3 linked regions of the Arabidopsis thaliana genome follow. The protein of the gene in region 3 interacts with the protein of the main gene of each other region in a pairwise test. Each region holds a gene or a part of one and is shown on either strand. Other genes may lie near its edges. The genes, in order: LUL1, AT5G61630 and PIP2B.

Evidence for each region.
Region 1: the proteins of PIP2B (region 3) and LUL1 interact in a protein complementation assay, tested with the Arabidopsis thaliana proteins (one large-scale study listed by BioGRID).
Region 2: the proteins of PIP2B (region 3) and AT5G61630 interact in a protein complementation assay, tested with the Arabidopsis thaliana proteins (one large-scale study listed by BioGRID).

What each region holds. Positions count from the first base shown.
Region 1 is NC_003076.8:758,927-765,533, forward strand, and holds LUL1 (RING/U-box superfamily protein), read right to left. Parts: upstream 2,915-6,607; 5' UTR 2,742-2,914; coding exon 2,299-2,741; intron 2,182-2,298; coding exon 1,716-2,181; intron 1,629-1,715; coding exon 1,524-1,628; 3' UTR 1,393-1,523; downstream 1-1,392. Other genes in the region: CPUORF47 (peptide upstream protein), read left to right, coding at 1-1,222; AT5G03204 (uncharacterized protein), read right to left, coding at 3,361-3,471; DIP2 (E3 ubiquitin-protein ligase), read right to left, coding at 4,144-4,413. UniProt on the Arabidopsis thaliana protein: Acts as an E3 ubiquitin-protein ligase, or as part of E3 complex, which accepts ubiquitin from specific E2 ubiquitin-conjugating enzymes and then transfers it to substrates (in vitro).
Region 2 is NC_003076.8:24,771,448-24,777,926, forward strand, and holds AT5G61630 (uncharacterized protein), read right to left. Parts: upstream 3,132-6,479; 5' UTR 3,056-3,131; coding exon 2,812-3,055; intron 2,556-2,811; coding exon 2,356-2,555; 3' UTR 2,061-2,355; downstream 1-2,060. Other genes in the region: AT5G61620 (myb-like transcription factor family protein), read left to right, coding at 936-1,254, 1,328-1,539, 1,638-2,060; PMSR1 (peptidemethionine sulfoxide reductase 1), read left to right, coding at 3,579-4,016, 4,449-4,700.
Region 3 is NC_003071.7:15,611,334-15,617,940, forward strand, and holds PIP2B (plasma membrane intrinsic protein 2), read right to left. Parts: upstream 3,690-6,607; 5' UTR 3,588-3,689; coding exon 3,158-3,587; intron 3,037-3,157; coding exon 2,741-3,036; intron 2,650-2,740; coding exon 2,509-2,649; intron 2,411-2,508; coding exon 2,291-2,410; 3' UTR 2,035-2,290; downstream 1-2,034. Other genes in the region: AT2G37160 (Transducin/WD40 repeat-like superfamily protein), read left to right, coding at 109-219, 300-387, 822-1,196; RD28 (Aquaporin-like superfamily protein), read left to right, coding at 6,446-6,607.

The sequences.
Region 1 (6,607 bases), on a different chromosome or scaffold from region 3:
TGGTGATCATGGAGCAGTGGATTTGGTCGATCTCGGCCGATTTGTTATTCCAGGACCGAAATTGTTCTTCCATAAGCTCGTTCAACCATTCTGGGGTAAAATTGAGACAGAGAAGTATCCACAAGTGGTAATTGCTGATCTCGTTGATGAGCTCATGGGGTTAAAGCTATTGCATTATGATGCTAAGATTCTCTGCATTGGTCAGGGATCGGATTCTGCTGTTTCAGGGTTCAAAGAGATGGGTTTCTCAGTTGTTCAAGGGGTTCCTAAGCATCCATTGTTTTCCTTTTTCAGTAGGAAGCATGTCAACGAGCTTGAGCTTAGTGGTGACAAGTCTTTTGATTTCGTGCTCTGTGGGGATGTTGATCATGTTGCTTCCCCTGCTCTTCTTGTGCTTGAGATGGAGCGGGTTCTGAAGCCTGGTGGAACCGGAGCAGTCCTTGTGAGTACTAATGCCAATCGTCTTGTCAAATCCGTGACTTCGGGGCTTAAGCAGTCTGAGATAGTGCGTGTGAACAACTTGGATAAGTTCACCGTCATTGTATTCAAGAGGAATGTAACGGAGACTGCTTATTGTATTGGAAAGTCTCAGCTACCAAGAGATTGCAAATCTGTTGACACCAATAGACCTTACACAGAGTTCATGGAACCTCTACTGGAGCAAAAGCCTGCTGATTTCCCAAAATCAGTAGCTTACTTACCTAAATTCCTTGATCTCTCTCTGAAAAAGAGCCTTGTCTACATTGACATTGGAGCAGCCGAGCACATGGATGCTAATTTAACTCCAAACTGGTTCTTTCCGTTATACCCACTCGACAGCAAAGCATTCAATGTCTACTTTGTCGACCACAACACTTCAGTAATGCTATCCTATGTCAAGAAACCCGGCGTCACCTTTGTTTACCATCCGGATTTGGCTGAGAACAACTCGACAGGGAAAAAGATAACTCCGCTTGAACAGCTAGAACCATTTCCAGAAGATGAGAGATTCGATTTCCTTGCTTGGTTTGAGGAAACTGCGAAATACGCAGACTTTGTAGTCCTTAAGATGAACACAAACCAAGTGGAAATGAAGTTCCTAACTGTTTTACTGGAAACAGGAGTCATATGCTACGTGGATGAGCTTTTCCTCCGCTGTTCCAACCACAAGTCAGACTGCATCAACATGCTTCAAACTCTGAGAGCCAGAGGTGTGTTTGTTCATCAATGGTGGGAAGACTAAACCAATGTAAAACTCAATCTCGCTTCGCCTTAGTCTTATCTACGTCGATTCGTGTCTGTCTTTGTCTCAGTTGTAATGCCATCACCTTCTGTGTTTGCCATAGTTGGTCCTCGGCCACCACAGCTCCTGGCCAAGCACCTATAACTAAATAAGAAGCTGCCTATCTGTTTATCATTGCTATTTAAGAACTCAGTTTCCACTTATAATATATTGAACCATAACGTTTTACGTCTTAATTAAGCATGGCATATATTACACAAGTCGATTGCTTAACTAAATTTGTTCATTCTCCATCTCCATTTCATCCGTTCTTGTTAATCTCCAAAAGCATCTCAACAGGTTGTCTGCAAACTGGGCACAGATTTGTCTGAAACCTTAACGCCTTTGCGCACCCGCTACACATACACTGCCAAACAGAAATACACAAACCATTTCAAAAGAAGTTCAATTTTTTTTTTATATGAGCTAATTTTAAGTATGATGAACACTATACCATGTGTCTGCAAGGAAGAACAGTTGTATCGCGTGGTTCAGACAAGCATACAACACATTCCTTTCCCTCATCGGAACCATCAACCGTGTTCTCAATCCCATAAATCTCAAGCAGCTCATACCTCCTCTTATTCACCCATAGTATCTGCTTCACCACTTCTATTTTAATCTCTCCTTTCTCCTTGGTATACACCACTTGAGTAATCTGCACATTGGTGGAACCAGACTTTCCTTCTTCCGCTGGAGTTGCCTCCGCCTTAACCGCCAACGGGAAGACATCTGTATCCACCTCCTTGAATAGCTCGGAATCTTTAAACGCCGTCAAGTCTATACCCGTTCCAGATGATTGTATGAACTTCTGACCAAGTCCTTCTCCGAAATCAAAAGTGATTGGAGGCAAAGTATCTTCCTTTGTAGCTCTAAGATTACATTCTGCATCTTCTGTAGCAAAGAAAACAACTGTGATCCTGTTCTCGCCAACCAAAACAACAAAAGCTAAGTCATTTATATTACTCCATTGATTGATTCAAACAAGATTCAAACTTTTAACTAAATTTGATCATTTCATAGTTTGAAAGTAAAACCTTCCGGGCATGGATGCATCAAATGTGAAGGAGACAAGAAGTCGATTCGGATTCTCCGGGTCGGGTATGAGCGTTAAAGTCTTCTTCTTCAGATTAACATCGTTACGAATCGTGACGGCTTTCTGGTGGACGTACGTAGGAGGCGGCAGTATAGGGTATCTACCGCCGTGAAACAAAGGATGAGGTAGTTGGTAACTGTTGGGAGGATAGTGATGCAAATGGTTGAAATTGTACGGTAGCATCGGCGGCTCAGTTACTGGCGGAGGAAGGCAGTTACCTGGATACTGGTCAACGTAGTTAGGGTTAGGGTTCAGATATGGTGGCACGGCGGCGAATACAAATCTGTTCGGTGGGAGTTCAAGAGGAGCCGTTTCCATCGCCGGAGGAATATTGCTCCTCTGCCTTCTCCCGCAGCAGAAGATCAAACTGATCAGATTCCCCATGATCGGAAAAAGAAAAAAGGTGAGGTTTTTCGGTGATTCAGTTGATAAGGAGTAGAATCGAAGTAGGTTTTATGATCATTGAGAAAGGGGAGTAATGAGATTGGAGATAGCGACGTCGACGAAGAAACACCAAAACGTTTATTTGTATATATTATAAATTAGTATTAAACTTGATTAATTACCATGGGAAATTGATTATTACTTTTAATCACATAAAACAAAGAAATCATTATCAGTAGCACTAGGCAGGCAATAGGCCCAAGGCCTCACAACAATATCACGGTTACAAAATAAGAAGAAACGAAATGACAAAACCGGAGACACGAGATTGGTTTTGGAGGTTGATCGGAAAACAAAGAAACACATCCATTAATACCGGCGATTACAAGAAGCACTGCTCGTCATTAAGAAACATCTTGCACTGATCGTCATTAAGAAACATCTTCTCTTATGTCTGATTATATAGGAGATCATAATAACGTCGATAAAAAAGAGTTTAAAGTGGAAATCAACCAAGAAATAGAAAGCACTATCAAGATATATTTCAAAATGAATATTTCATTAAAATGGATTAAAAAATAATTAAACACTCGAGTTTTGATCTTGTCTTGTTAAAATTTTACTCATCGTGTTCCTCATAAATTGTCCCCAGCGAAGGCGAAGCTGAAACCCTCATCGGATAAACAAGAATCGCCGGTACAGTTTCGAATGGTCCGATCATCCTAGCCATGATTTGTAAATATACTCTTTCTTCGATTTAGACTTCGGCAGCTTTCGACTGTGTTGAGAAGATCTATGTGGAAATTATTGTTATTGCTGATATTTATAGAGATAGAGAGGAATAGTAGTAGTGTAATTAACTAATCATCAAGTGATCTTTATATATTTGTATACTTTTTTATAGGACGCAGCTTAATACTTATCGCACGTGATATTTATGTTTCATATTTAGGTGATGCTCGAAAGTTGAAACATAAGTATGCGTACACTGCTTTAGTTTGCAGATAAATCATACATGTCTTTATTAAAAATTAATGTAAATTAGATTCTTTTGGTTGAGAAAATGATCGCACCAAACAGAAATAGCGGTGAGACTGGTTTCAGGTTTAAGTTTGGTTTGATATTTGAAGATACTGATTTTTTGTCGTGGACCGGTTATCGTCCCGGTTCGGTTAGAAAGTATATTAAGATTTGTCTTTAATTACCAACTCGTGAGCATATAACAACAGATCACCGAGCGTACAAGATGTGAAAGTTGAATGAAAATTTCACAAAGAACTGAGATTTGATTGTACAAAAGATACAATACAAAATCTCATCTTATACAGTTATAGAAAAAACAACAACAACAACAAGAGTCTATCTTAAACCCAAGACCGAGTAACAAAATGATCATTACAATTTACACGTCCTCGTTTTCTTGTTCTTGATTGTCTTCTTCGGTCTCTCCGCCTTCTAAAATCGTCTCAAGAATCGGAGAAACCGATGGCTTCGCCGGAGAAATGATTTGTGGAGGAACAGCCTCCATCCACCACGCCACATCCACCACCACCGTCAGATTCTGATCGCACCGATTATCAAAGAAACACATATTCGCTTCACTAGATATTATTTTAGATTTGCGGAAGTAATTCAAATTGTTACTTTTTGAGTTGAATTGATACGTGTTCATTTGTTCGTATTTATAGAGAGATTGACGCGTGGAGATATGTGGAACAATGATGGGTTTGACGTAAGAGTCGGACAAGTGGACGATCCACAATGTTTAAGTTAGTTTGTTGACTTGGTCTTATTTGCTAATAATAATGAAACCAACACGAATATTCTAGAACCTCTTGTTGTCGTCATTATCAACAAGTCTCGAATGTGCAACACGTGTGAGCTCTTGTCTCACACGTCTATATCTCCGCTAAGATTTTTTTTTGTTGTTGTCAATGTTAGGATATTTCTTTATGCGTCGTATATTGCAAAATACTAGACACACACTTAGGGTTTGAAGTTTCTCAGCAATTGTGTGGGTACGCTTTGGACAAATACACTACTCTACAAATTAGTTTAGACCGCGTTTGACTCGGTAACGTTAGAAGCAGATTAGACACTAATTAGGCCCAAGTTAAACTATCATGGGCTCATTCGTAAACTTAGTTCTAATGGGCTCTCAACATCAGATCTTAATATTTATAGAGAGCATGAGGTCAAATGCGTAGTTCCGTATATGAGAATTATGAAACTGAACCCATAAGCATTTTAATCACGCTGAGGAAAGTAGCCACTTCTCGTTTAACTAATACGGTAATACCTCATTCTGCCTGTTTTATTGATTTGTTTGGATATTTTGGTGCAATTCGATTAAAAATGTACCTAGAAAACAAAATTAAAATTGAGAAAATAAAAAACGTACCAATTGATAGAAAAAAAGATTATTGTACGCTGAAAAAGTAGAAAGAACTAGATAATTTTTAGTGATGACAAAAACGAAAATCTTCTTTGTGAACTTAAATCGCTGGAAAACATGCCATATGCAGAGTTAATCAAAACATTATTAGCAATCAATTGATATATGTATATATAAATATAAGATGCCTTAGCTTTTTCTTATATATATAATTAGGTTAATTAGAAAATAAGTCAATGGCCTGAAAAGGATTGGATAAGATAAGGATATTTGAAAGGTTGCTTTCATTCTTCTTGCAATTTCCCCCTTATTTTAGTTTTCTTAGCTTATAGAATTCATCCCTCATTTTCCGTCATTTGATATTATAACATAAGATGCATGAGGACGACAAAAATAGAAATAATAAGTGAATAGGTAGGTATACCATGTACTTGTCACTAGACGATTCGATATTTTACATAGAGATTAATCTATTTCTAGGGAATTATTGGCACCTTATGATCGAACATGTCACCTAAAAAAAGTGAGCTTATCACATCGCATAAGTTTTGCAAAAATATTCTTAAACTAATTTTTTAATGTATGTCAGAATAATGTTTCATCAATCGAGAATATGGATTAGAGATATAATTCACTAGCAAAATTTTACAAACGGATTCTTTTTTCTTTTTTTTTTGATAACCGAAATTGATATATGCTTGTATAGGGTGGTCGAAGCTAAGGTCTACCATAGTTAATTGCTAATTTAATTATTATTAGTTGTAAAACACACAAGATGACATCATTATTTGATCTAACACAATAAAAATAGAATTAGGCAAATGAAAATCGGTTTAGTAAACGACAAATCAACAATGTCATGTGTTTTGTTTTCTGATTTTGGTTCAATTTAATTATTTCAAAATAATTTTCTTGATATCCAAAGATCCATTTTTAATTCTTTTATGAGAGAGGTTAGAGCTTTTACCCTCAAAGGCCTCGAAGCTATTTTTTATTTTTATTTTTTTTTGTAATGTGTCATTTTTAGGAGTCCATTTTTCGAACATAACATAAGCATAGATACAATACGGAGCTGATCATTTGACATAATATGAAATTTTCCAACAGTTATTTGTTCGGTGATAAAACAATAATTGAAATCCCAACAAGTAGAAGATATGCAACTAACAAGAAAGATTACGATCATACGGCTGAACAATGAGAATTTGATGTTTCTTAATCACGTAGGATTCTATGCATAATTAGAATATATAGGAATATTATTAAAGACAAGAGAAGATTTAAGAAGCTCGATTATTATCTTACTACATGCATTATTATTATTTGTTTTTTTTCTTGGTACTTGTGTTTTGTTATGTATCTCAAAGCTCCAATTATGTAGAGGTCATCGACCAATAATTAATCAATTGACCACACTACTCTATATTTTAAATAGTAATTGGTTCAACAGGCAAAGACGCTCTTTTATTTG
Region 2 (6,479 bases), on a different chromosome or scaffold from region 3:
CAATTTGTCAGATTACCATGTTTTTTTATTTTATTTTAATATATAAAAATTGCAATCGGAATCTTAGTCGAGATTAAATAAAAATCTAAAACTCAGAACCTACTAGATTTTAATTTTTGATCAAACTAATCATATTTTTTACCACCGTAGATTTTGTATGTGTCACACACTGACTGCAATAAACAAATAAACAAAAAAGGTTTCCCTAAATAAGGAAACGAGGACTTTGTTCCTATATTGATCTAAATTTCCAAGTATCCAATTAGATCTCAACGCGTTTAGATTGGATCGAATTATATCACAAAGTTATTTAAAAAAATTATACTCTGAATTTATCGCAAATATATATAGGAGTATATATATGTAAAAACTTTGGAAGAAATAGAAATATGGGTAACTTAGGAAATATGAGATATTAACTAATATGGATGAAGATAAAAGTAAGTAAATTCCAGTTATATTAAGATTAGGATTGATATTGATAAAAATATGGGTAACTTAGGAAAGAAAATAAAAAAATAAAATCGAATATACGATTTAATATCTCTCCTAAATATCCGGGATCAATATCCAGTACATGTTTACCTGGAAAACAATCTAACGGCTGATTTTCCACGAATCCTATCTTAAGAAAATGTTAACCGTCGATTATGATCCTACGCTGATTCTGCTGGATTTTTCCTTATAATGACTTGGGTAAAAACTTCCAAATAAAACAAGATAATTAAGGAAACGCTTTATCTCTTAAGGAAAATAAAAAAATGTAAAAACACCAAGGACATTCACAAATAACAGCTCACGCATATCCGCATATATATATATATATATATATATATATATATCATTACACAAGAGAGTTTAAGGTATAAATACAATTAGCGAGATCTTGTGATTCTAATTCTTGTGATACCGAAAACATTGGTGGCGAGAGAGAGATGGTGAAGGAGACGGTGACGGTGGCGAAAACGTGCTCACACTGTGGCCATAATGGCCATAACGCACGGACTTGTCTCAACGGCGTTAATAAGGCAAGTGTTAAACTGTTCGGCGTTAATATATCGTCTGATCCGATTAGGCCGCCTGAGGTAACGGCGTTAAGGAAGAGTCTTAGTTTGGGAAACCTTGATGCTCTTCTCGCTAACGATGAAAGTAACGGTAGCGGTGATCCTATCGCCGCCGTTGATGATACCGGTTATCATTCCGATGGTCAGATTCATTCCAAGAAGGGTAAAACTGCTCATGAGAAGAAAAAGGGTACGTAATCTTCTAATCTCATCAATTTGATAATCTAAATTCAATGAAATTAATAAGAATAAATCAAATTCAGGGAAGCCATGGACGGAAGAAGAACATCGTAATTTCTTAATCGGTTTAAACAAACTCGGAAAAGGAGATTGGAGAGGCATTGCAAAGAGTTTCGTGTCGACAAGAACACCAACACAAGTCGCAAGTCATGCTCAGAAATATTTTATTAGGTTAAACGTTAACGACAAGAGAAAAAGACGTGCTAGTCTCTTTGACATCTCTCTCGAAGATCAGGTACTTATTTACCTTGTTTCTCAAGTAATCCATTGAGTCAATTGATTTGTCTAGGGCTATTTTTTAATTTAGGGTTTAATTGTTTTTTCATTAAACAGAAGGAGAAAGAGAGGAACTCTCAAGATGCTTCAACAAAGACTCCACCTAAACAACCAATAACCGGAATTCAACAACCGGTAGTACAAGGTCATACTCAAACCGAGATTTCGAACAGGTTTCAGAATTTATCAATGGAGTATATGCCAATCTACCAACCCATACCACCTTACTACAACTTTCCACCTATTATGTACCATCCAAATTATCCAATGTACTATGCCAACCCTCAAGTACCGGTTAGGTTTGTTCATCCTTCTGGTATACCTGTTCCAAGACATATACCGATTGGTTTGCCTCTGTCTCAACCGAGTGAAGCTTCTAATATGACAAATAAAGACGGTTTGGATCTTCATATCGGTTTGCCTCCACAAGCTACTGGAGCTTCTGACTTGACTGGTCATGGCGTTATTCATGTGAAATGAAATCTCATTTTTTGTGTGTTTATTTAAGCATGATATAGGTATATTGCTTCTTTTTTTTGGTGTTGAGTTTTATTTGAATATATAGCTCCATATTCAAAAGTTTTGCCAATCGGATTATGTATCATTTTTATTTCTTCCCAGATTAGATTAAATAAGAATATAGATATATTTGGATTTATATTTAGCTGCTTCTTTATCAACCAAAAACAAAACAAAAAAAATCTTAGTTTTGGTGAAGTTTATTGAGTAAAATCAACATTCATTGGGAGAAAATTAAAAAAATGGTGTTGATTAACTAGTAAAATCCTTTGATCAATTTCCTAGAAGCTCGTCTGGTTCTATCAGTGAGGTTTGGTTTGTCAGGATCTCCGAGTTCTAAGGTGGCACCCAAGAAACCGGTCTGAGTTCCATCGCTATCATTGTCGATGTCTCCTTCGATCGTCAATCCTTCAATCTTAGCCGCAATAGATTCTTCTCTCATCCCAACATCCACATCTTCAAAATTTGGATCGATGTTATAAGTGCCACAAAGAATAAAGTATCAACATGTAACAGTTACATAAAATATTTCCCAACTTCACAACCGCCAAATGCAGACATGATCTCTCTACCATTTGCAATCCAATTTGATCATGTTGGATTATTGCGGATGAGTTCGTGGTTAACAACATGCATGTTTTTTCTTTCACTTTAAAACCGGGCATGGTTTGATCAAACACAAGCATGTTTTTGGCTCACTAATTGTATATACCTGGATTTGAGAAGAGCCAAAGTACGAGAGCGCATGCAAGGAGAACAAATGGTATGATGTGAATGGCGTTTTCTGCGAATTTGGCACGTGACTTCTCCTTCTTAACCATCTCCTCTGGTGGATTATTGTAGGAAGGTAGTTCGTTCTCGTCGAGGGGACCGATCACCGAGCCCATCCACAATCCCTTAGGCGGTGCGGATGAGTAGTCTTCTGGCACTCGGTTCCAGCTCGCGGATCTATACATTTTGATAAGTATTTTTGGTTTTGATAGGTGTGTTCCAAAAACTCTATAGAAATTACGTTTTTAGGATGTTGATGGTTTTTGAGCTTAATCAGTTTCTTTGTTACATTTTAGTCACAGTTTTTTATTTCTTAGAAGAAAAAAGAATCCGGATTGAATTGCGAATTTAGAGCCTATGGTTTTGGTACATTTGGATCGAAATAAGGACTTTGTCAAATCGTTCAATCTAATCACTCATTTTTCCATTTGAGAGTGACAAAAACAACCATTTCTTTAGATTCTTTGTTTTCTTCTTCTATTTCTGTGACATTTTATAAACATATGATTTGATCATGCTTGAAACTAACTAATCTTAGTTTTAAGATTTTAAAGATTAAAAAAAAAAAAAAAAAAAAGATTTTAAAGATTGTCAATTTGAACTGCTTGAATGAAATGTCAACCAAAACTGGTTTCTAAAATTATTTTTATCGTTATTCAAAACGTAAACGCAAACGCGAATTTTATACCTGTCAGAATTTGGTACAAAATGTTCCGCAGAATCAGCCGACGTTTCCTCTTCACCACTTTCCTCTGTTTCTCTGTTTCGCTCTCTCTACAAAATTTCTCCATGAACATACTTAACAAGCTAGGTATAGGATCAAGTAGACAAACCAACATGGATCCTTCTCCAATCGCACAAGTAATCGACGACGAAGCTCCGGCGCCGGGAAACCAGTTTACTCAATTCGGCGCCGGTTGTTTCTGGAGCGTGGAATTAGCGTACCAGAGAGTTCCAGGAGTGACTCAAACAGAGGTTGGTTATTCTCAAGGGATCACTCACGATCCTTCTTACAAAGATGTTTGTTCAGGTACCACGAATCATGCCGAGATTGTTCGTGTTCAATATGATCCAAAAGAGTGTAGTTACCAGTCGCTGCTTGATTTGTTCTGGTCTAAGCATGATCCCACCACTTTGAATCGGCAGGTAACGAAAGTTTTGCTCTTTAGAATGTCTGATTTTGTGAGTTTTAAGTTTTGATTTTGGTGATTGAGGAAGATTTCTAGGGTTTCTAGGGCTTGCTTGAAATATTGAGCTCTAAATAGATTGAAATCTAGGGTTTGGATGATGTAATACTTTGGATTCATTTCATGTTCTGTTGGTACAAAATTTAGGTTTTATGTTTGAAACTGAACAGAGAGACTCATACATCTTCTCTTTGATAAGGATGTGAATTTGGCTATCGTTCTTGTCATCTTTGGTCACTGAACCATCCTTATGTGTATTTTGGTAGTTTCTTAGAGAGCACTTAACCAGCTCTTATGCAGAATCACTATTTATTTGGTAGTTTATCTGCTTGTCGTGCATTATGTTCGAATTTGTTTCTCTGTTTTAATGAGTACATCCTTATCTGATCAGGGAAATGATGTGGGAACCCAATACCGTTCAGGGATATATTTCTACAACCCGGAGCAAGAGAAACTAGCACGCGAGTCACTGGAGCGGCACCAGCAACAAGTTGACAGGAAGGTTGTGACAGAGATCTTACCGGCTAAGAAATTTTATAGAGCTGAGGAACATCACCAGCAATACTTGTCTAAAGGAGGGAGGTTTGGTCTTAAGCAATCAACGGAAAAAGGCTGCAACGACCCAATCCGCTGCTACGGGTAAAAGCCTTGCTTCTAACCGAAAGCAGAGGATGCTTCCACTTATCTATGATAGATTATAGCAATTATCGTTGAAAAATAAAGAAGCCGAGGCTACTTATGTAACTTGTTCTTGTTCATAAAACTTTTTAAGTGTTCAATCCTTTAGGTATATAGTATTGTTTGGATGTTCTCGATTGAATTTGTTCTTGTAAGATTCATCAAAACTAGTTTGAGTAAAACGTAAAATGATTTTTTAGTGTCTTTTACTCAGCATCAGTTTTAGTTAGTGTACTAGGCTCTAACTTAAAGGGTTAAATTGATCCAAACCAAAGTGAACTCTAATTTGGAAAATCAAATTAAAAATGATAGAAAACATTCTTCATCCAAACAAATCAAAACGGAAATAGGCAAAATTTTGAACATTGCGTTAGGGTGGATAACCTTTTAAGCTATCAGCCAACTATTGGACGAGGAGATTATACTCCAAATTTTGGAATTGTATGTTTTTCTTTTTGGGTTTTAAATTAATGTGGTCTCAACTAATATGAATAAGGTAAGTAAAATAAGCACCGTTCATACAAAGTACAGAAGAAAAGATAATGGAAGGGGAAGTCAAGCAAGTGAAAAAGACAGAAGCGAGAGAGATCTTGTGATAACAAAAATCTGCTTAAATAGAATGTTGACAACGTGTTGTTCATTATCTCTCTAACGTGAATAGCACGAATTTTAAGTTCAGCCTCGCAACTCTCTTACGTGGCTTTCTCTCAGTCGCATTTTCGTTAATTAAATGCTAACTTATGATTGAGAGTTCATCGGTTTCGTCCCATTCGTCGAACATAAAGTTAATTAAATGCTAACTATGGACAATTCTATTAATATACGATAAAGTTTTATAATGGTAGGTGTTTTTTGGCGAATTTAATAAACTGCATGTTAAGACTTCAAGCAAAAAATACTATTATCTTGTTCCAAATAAAGTGATGATTCACGAACGTCAACTAAAAGAAATTTCGTGGAAAAAGAAAAAATATGTTTCATGAAACATCTAAAATAAAACAATTACTAATTGCAATAATTTAAAGTAATTTTTGCTAGCTAGTTTCTAACTCAATTGTATGATTTCACTTCAATTATTATACTATATATTTTCTTCAGTACTTTGTTAAGATATCTTTTTTTTTGGTGCGAAATGTTAAGATATCCTGACATCTATATTTATATTCAGACTAATAGAAATTCTTGTAAAGCTTAAGAGAAATACGAATGTGATGAAAACTTAAGGGCTAGTTTGGCAGGTAAACCAACTTAACCCCAAGGAAAAACCAAATCTTAAGTTACTATTATTGTATATTCTTTCTCAAACACAACAAATTAATCATATCCTCCCAATGTTTAAAACTCAAGCTTAAGAGTTTTTTTTCTCCTGCAAGCTACAATCATTTTTGATAGAAAATTTATACCTTTTGATGGATTCAGAAATCAGAAGTCTCCTTAGTCCTTAAAAAAAGAAAGTTTAGTACGCTAAAACAAATTCACCCTAAAACTCTATAAATTGCCTATATTTCCATTGGGTTTTCCCGCTTTTTTCTTCTCTTGTAAATTTCTATAATTTTCCATGTTTTAGAAGCTAAGTTAGTTAATATCACCAGAAGTCGGTTTAATTAATAATAAATTCTCAGGCCAATGGCTTAACCATGCGATGATCATAATCACTAGATTGTTAATTCAAAACTAATCTTGAGTATTCAAATGAAACTACAAAATCAAACATAAAATGCGTGATTTGTGAACTACCACATGA
Region 3 (6,607 bases):
GCATTTGTAGGAAAATAATATTCTGTGTTAATTTTTTCTCCCTCAAGTTGCTTTTAGCATGCGTTGTTAATTTGTAAATGTATGCTAACATTGCGATTGGCCTGACAGTATGGATGGAAAGTACCTTTTGACTGGAGGTGAAGATGACTTGGTTCAAGTGTGGAGTATGGAAGATCGAAAGGTTGTGGCATGGGGTGAGGGACACAATTCGTGGGTAAGGTTCTTAAATTGGAGTATAGTGAATTACGTATGTAAGACAAACACTACTTGACTTATGTGAAAGCTTCCTCATAGGTAAGTGGTGTGGCGTTTGATTCGTATTGGTCGTCACCAAATTCAGAGGGGTCTGGCGAGAATGTCATGTATCGGTTTGGTTCTGTTGGTCAGGTATTCAGTTATACTAAACACTTTTTTGCTTTAACGTTGAGAGTATACCTTGACCTATATCTGAGAATTGAACAGTGTTAATACCTTTATTTCTATTAGTTTAACAGGATACAGATTGTAGAATGATTCTAGTGTAGGGGAGCGATAAAGAGTGAGAGAAGTGAGATGAAATCTTTGATTGGAAATTTCATGTAGACGATGCTATCACCCCATATGACCAAAAGAAATTCCCAATTAAAGATTTCATCTTACTTCCCTCATGTGGCTTTTGCCAGATTACGGGTATAGATTTGTTAATCTGCTGGGTAGAAATTTGTTAGAAAATGGCACGCCCTGTGGTCATTGTTTGATAACTTATACTATGATCATCTTTGGGGTTTTGGGCCTTTTGGCTTGCATTCCATGTCTTTATTCCCTTTTCTTGTGCCGAACAGGACACACAGTTACTGCTATGGGACCTAGAAATGGATGAGATTGTTGTTCCCCTACGGCGACCTCCAGGAGGATCACCCACTTACAGCACAGGGAGTCAGTCCGCTCACTGGGACAACATTGTTCCAATGGGCACTCTTCAGCCAGCGCCGTGCATGCGCGATGTCCCAAAGCTCTCACCAGTAGTGGCTCACCGTGTTCACACCGAGCCCCTCTCGGGCTTGATCTTCACCCAAGAATCATTGATAACAGCTTGCAGAGAAGGCCATTTAAAGATCTGGACACGACCTGACACCCAGCCCAGCAGCAGCTCAGAAGCAACAAATCCAACCACAAGCAAACCCTCGCTGACCAGCAAGGTTGGTGGTTCCAGTTAATTCAGTCACCATTTAAATCATATTGTTTCAGGTCGTGGTTTCGAAAGGAAACCCTGTGAATATCTCTCCTCGGTACTGAATCTGACTCTATCGATGTGTGGGAGAGAGGCTGAGACATTTCTGGGGATTGATGGAGATGAAAGGAGATAAAGAGAGTTTTCAGATGTAATTAAGAGAAAACAGATCTTTTGGATTTTAGGGTTTATATCCAACAAAAGCTAACCAAAAACTAATAATTCAAGATTGGTGCTTCGGAAGAAGACGCAAAAGTGTATTTTCTTGCAGTTGCAAAACTGTTACGAAATTTTTAAAGTTTTCCTATTATTGTTTCGATTTATGTAAAACCCTGATTTTGGTCTTGAGGCACATTTTTTGGATAATCTACATTGGATTAAAGAAATTTCGAAGTTTTTGTCTGTATGACCATCTATAGGTTTTTAATATTTTGTTCACGCTCTTCTTGATATTGTTATTTCTGAAAATGACGTTTGTATACTTTAAGTAAAGTGACGCAAATTAGTTGTTGAACCAACAGCTTTCCTGCGTAAGCTCTCGTTACAAATTCTATGAGCTTAAACTAGTGAGTGGAATGTCAACTCAAAACTAAGTGTTCAACAAAATTCGTTTTTGGTGTAGATTAATTGAATTTGAGACGATCTTACCAATTGACTTGTGCTTTAGTTGTTGTTTAATTAGGTGATGGCGACAAGCTGACAAAAAAGTGCCAAACACATAAGTTTTTGTTCTGTCTTAATCCTCTTCAGTGGAGGATAATTTAAATCACATGAACTTATAAATTATAACTATTAATGTAGTCTATGTAGATATGCTTTTAGCTGGTAATATCATCTGTATAAAATAAAAAGAGGGAGGAGAAGGCAAAACAATTTGGTTTTCATTAATTGTTTTCCCGAGTACACAAACATTGGCATTGGCACATATCAAAGTATTACACCACAATGAAAACAGAAAAACAAGAAGAAATATAGTGCATAGTTTTACAAGCAAAGTTGCCAATTTTTGTACATACATAATAACACAACCATTTTGTAATTGTTGTTATTATGATAGGTTTTTTTTTGTGTGGCAAAAACTCAAACGTTGGCTGCACTTCTGAAGGATCCAAGTGACTTGGAACCTGAAGCCCTTAGGACAAATTGGTGATAAAATGCAGCTATCGCAGCTCCAATGAATGGTCCCACCCAGAATATCCACTGTATTTAGATAGACCAAAAAAACAGTTCATTATTTTCCCATCAAACAATAGTCCATAATTTGATTAATTTTAAATAATTAAGAAATAGAAACGTACGTGGTCATCCCATGGCTTGCTCTTGTTATAGATTACGGCAGCTCCGAAACTCCTAGCCGGGTTGATGCCGGTTCCGGTGATCGGAATAGTGGCCAAATGTACCATAAACACCGCAAACCCAATCGGAAGTGGCGCCAAAACCTTTCGTTTCATAATTCATAACACTAAGTATTAATTAATGTTATCGTATGTTACCAGAACGATCTTATAACTGATAGAAATAAATACTAACCGGAACGTGGGAGTCTCTAGCGTTACGTTTGGGATCAGTAGCGGAGAAGACTGTGTAGACGAGAACGAATGTTCCAATGATCTCTGCGGCTAGTCCGGTGCCTGTGTTGTAGCCGTCTGCTAGAGAGTTGGCTCCTCCACCGTAACGATCATAGTAAGAGCTTTGAAAGGCTTTGACGAAACCAACTCCACAAATAGCACCCAAACACTGAGCCACCATGTAAAGCACCGCCCTAATCAGCGATACCTTCCGGGCTAAGAACAAACCAAACGTCACCGCAGGGTTTATGTGACCACCTACAAAGTTCTTGGGGTTAATTTCAAATAAATTACAAAACAAAGGACAAATTTGAAAGGTCCACAAATGTTAAATTTTCTGAACCGGGTAATAAACCGGACCGGTTTCGATATATGATACCTGAGATACCGGCGGTGCAGTAGACAAGGATGAAGATCATGCCACCAAAAGCCCACGCGATGCCAAGGATTCCGACGCCGCCGCAGTCAACTCCACCGGCTTTTGTGTCGGACTGAATCTTGTAACCGATGACAGTTAAAACGGTGATGTACAAGAAGAGGAGAGTGGCTACGAACTCGGCAATGACGGCTCTGTATAAAGACCACTTGGTAAGCTCGTCCGCATCGAAAAACGGAGTTGGTGGCGGATCTTCGTAGTCTCTTGTCTGAAATCCCTCAGGTCCTTCCACGTCTTTGGCCATTTCTATAACTTTTTTTGTTATATATGAAAGTTGTGTTTTGTATTGTGGATATGTTGTGTTTGTGAAGACTGAAGAGACGAATGAAAGTTGTTTATATAGAGAGACTATAGCTATAGTGAGTGCTCTCATTAATTTTGCTTGTCAATATACGTTAATAATTGTATACGTGTTATTGATTGATTATATTACGATAATGTTTTCCTTTTGGTAGGCTTATGGTTGTTTTTATTATTCGTTTCAATGAAATGAATATAGAATTGTGTGTATGACGATTATGATTATTTTTGTGGAAACTTTCTTTCACTAATTAATTACCTAGCTAGCTGTCATGATGATATATAATCTAAACCAATCTAATCATTGCTACATAATCAATAGAAACTGATTTTGCTTAATATATTCATGTTCCACTGTTTTTTTTTTGTTTAAGCAGAATTTCCATATACATTAGTATAATTAACTGATGATAGTAAGAATTAGCTACTGCTAAGAGTTTTTCATCTCAATTAGTGTTTGTCATAATATGATAGTTAAGGTATTGTTTTGTTGACAAAATTAACTATAACTAAATTATTATTATTTTGGTTTCAACTTCAACTATTGATACAAATCTGTAACTAAAGATGAACTTATTTGAGATTCTGATTATTTAAAAGAATGATTGTGGAGCTATCAATAGGAACAGAGACCTTTTAATTCTAAAATTATGGTTGATAATGGAGTTTTGTGGTTAATTTAACTTAGCCTCGCCGCCCCATACCTAAACGTTGTTTTCATTTGGACCGACCCTAATATACTATATGCTTCTATATTTTTCTTTCTCTTGTCCTATGTCATGAGCCTTGTCCTCCCCCTAGAATAATATAGACTGTCACTCTTTTACACATAAAATAAATAAAAAATATGAAGTTATGAACCTTATCTATTTGGGCAATACTTGAAAGTTGTTACTTGTTAACGATAAAGCTTTTTGAACTACGAGATAGCTAGATTGATCAATAGTAAAATTTCTGATTATCTAGATTCTATCATCCTTCATTTAATTTCTAGAAGGAGCTCCTTATATAGTTATACTAGTTCTTATGCATGTAATTAGTAACGATTAAATTGACTTCCTATGCTCTTAACGTTACAAATCAAATCTATTAGGTGGATAAAAAAGAGTCTTTTGATAGCTCTCAGCTAACCCTACCATATAACAAAAACATAATTTATCACATGGACATGATAAAAGAAACGGCGTCGCTTCACGGGTTATGTTTCCACTAAAGTAGAAAATATGATGAAAGTTGGGTCCACTGGACCGGAGAAACCGCCCCATATAGAATTGATTAGCTCCGTCAATTGCATCGGCACCGTCCATACAGATTAAGTCCAACTCCAGTTCAGCCGTCCCAACCACTCCTCTTATGCCACGTTGTTTAGTCCCCATATTCAACAATCATTTGCTCTCACTCCTCAATTCCAAATTTCCAATTGCAATTTTCTTACGTATATTATTCAGTATTCACTAATCACTAGTCTGTCTACAAAAATAAATTGGAAAAATAAAAAGTGTACATAGACAAAAGGAATGTGGTGTAATGTGGTGTTCATGGCCAATGTTTTGCCACGTCACAATATCCTTATCGTTGTAGCGACATTTCTCTGCTCTTATTGGATTATATTTCCACGTCAGAAAGGTGCTCTCTCTCTCTCGGTCTCTCCCCTGGTTTTATTTTTGTTTTCTTTCATCTTTGTCGCTTTCTGTTTTGTTAAAGAATTGTCTACTCGATATTGGTTACGAATGGTATTGTTCTCTGTGGAAAAATGGGTTAATTTGTTATGATAAACATTTTTTGTTCCAAACAAATAAATGTTCTTTCATTTCATAGTAAATTTTTTAGTCTTCTGAACACACGTATATATATGCTTGCTAACAATGAATCCACAATAACAGATCATAAAATTACATCTGACTCATATGTAATTCTATCATGATATGTTGAGTCAATATATAGTCGATGGAGTATATATAGAGTTATAATTTGATTGTAGTGTCCTATGACAGATTTAACACTCAGCTTACACCGAAAAAGTTAAGTCTCAAATAAATTACGTATTTATGCGTTATTTAACTTATTATACAAAATGACCTAAAATACCATTTCATTTTCCTATACAAATATTCGCTTACTATATATACTATATGTTTACCAACTATCATGAAAAAGATGCACGAATGATCCAGAATGTGCTTGAAACGGCAGAAAAACAAAAGAATCGTGTGACACGATCGAGACAAATACTTTACTAATCATATAAAATCATTATTTATCAAAAACTTAAAAAGCACCTACAGTATATGCAATGTGGATACAGCTAAAAGATAAGGTATGTATGTTAACACACAAGTATATATGATCATCATTGTCAAATATGTTCACTTATATAATTGCTCACGTTTTATCGGTTTTTGGTTTTTTGTCAACGGTCAAATTTTTTGGGTGATGCCTAACAAAATTTAATGACGTGACTCTTGGGACGGTGATCTATCAGTAGCATTTAACAATCTAGTTATTTGGAAATGAATTACAGTATGAGATTTATACTATTTGTATAAACTTTTCAGGAAATGTTAAATTATATCTTTAGGAGATTTTTTGTATTGGTTCTCACTGATTTAGATTATCAAGTTACTGAGATAAAAAAAAAATTAATACTTGTTTTAGATTTCCTTTAGTTACCACTGACCAACTTCTTTAGCAAAAAAAAAAAATTACCACTAAACCAACTTATGCATTCGTTACAAAAAAAAATACCATAAAACAAAACATCAATGTTGTAAGTTGTGACATTAAATCAAAAGTGTCAAAATCAACAGTAGCACAAACCAAGAGCTCACTCTATATAAAGAACCTTTATTCTTCATCTCACAACCACAAGCCCTACAACAACCACAAAGCAAAACACTTACTTAGAAAGTCCAGAAACATCCATTAACACATATGGCTAAAGACGTGGAAGGACCTGATGGATTTCAGACGAGAGATTACGAAGATCCTCCGCCAACACCGTTTTTCGACGCAGAGGAGCTTACCAAGTGGTCTTTATACAGAGCAGTCATCGCCGAGTTCGTAGCCACTCTCCTCTTCTTGTACGTCACCGTT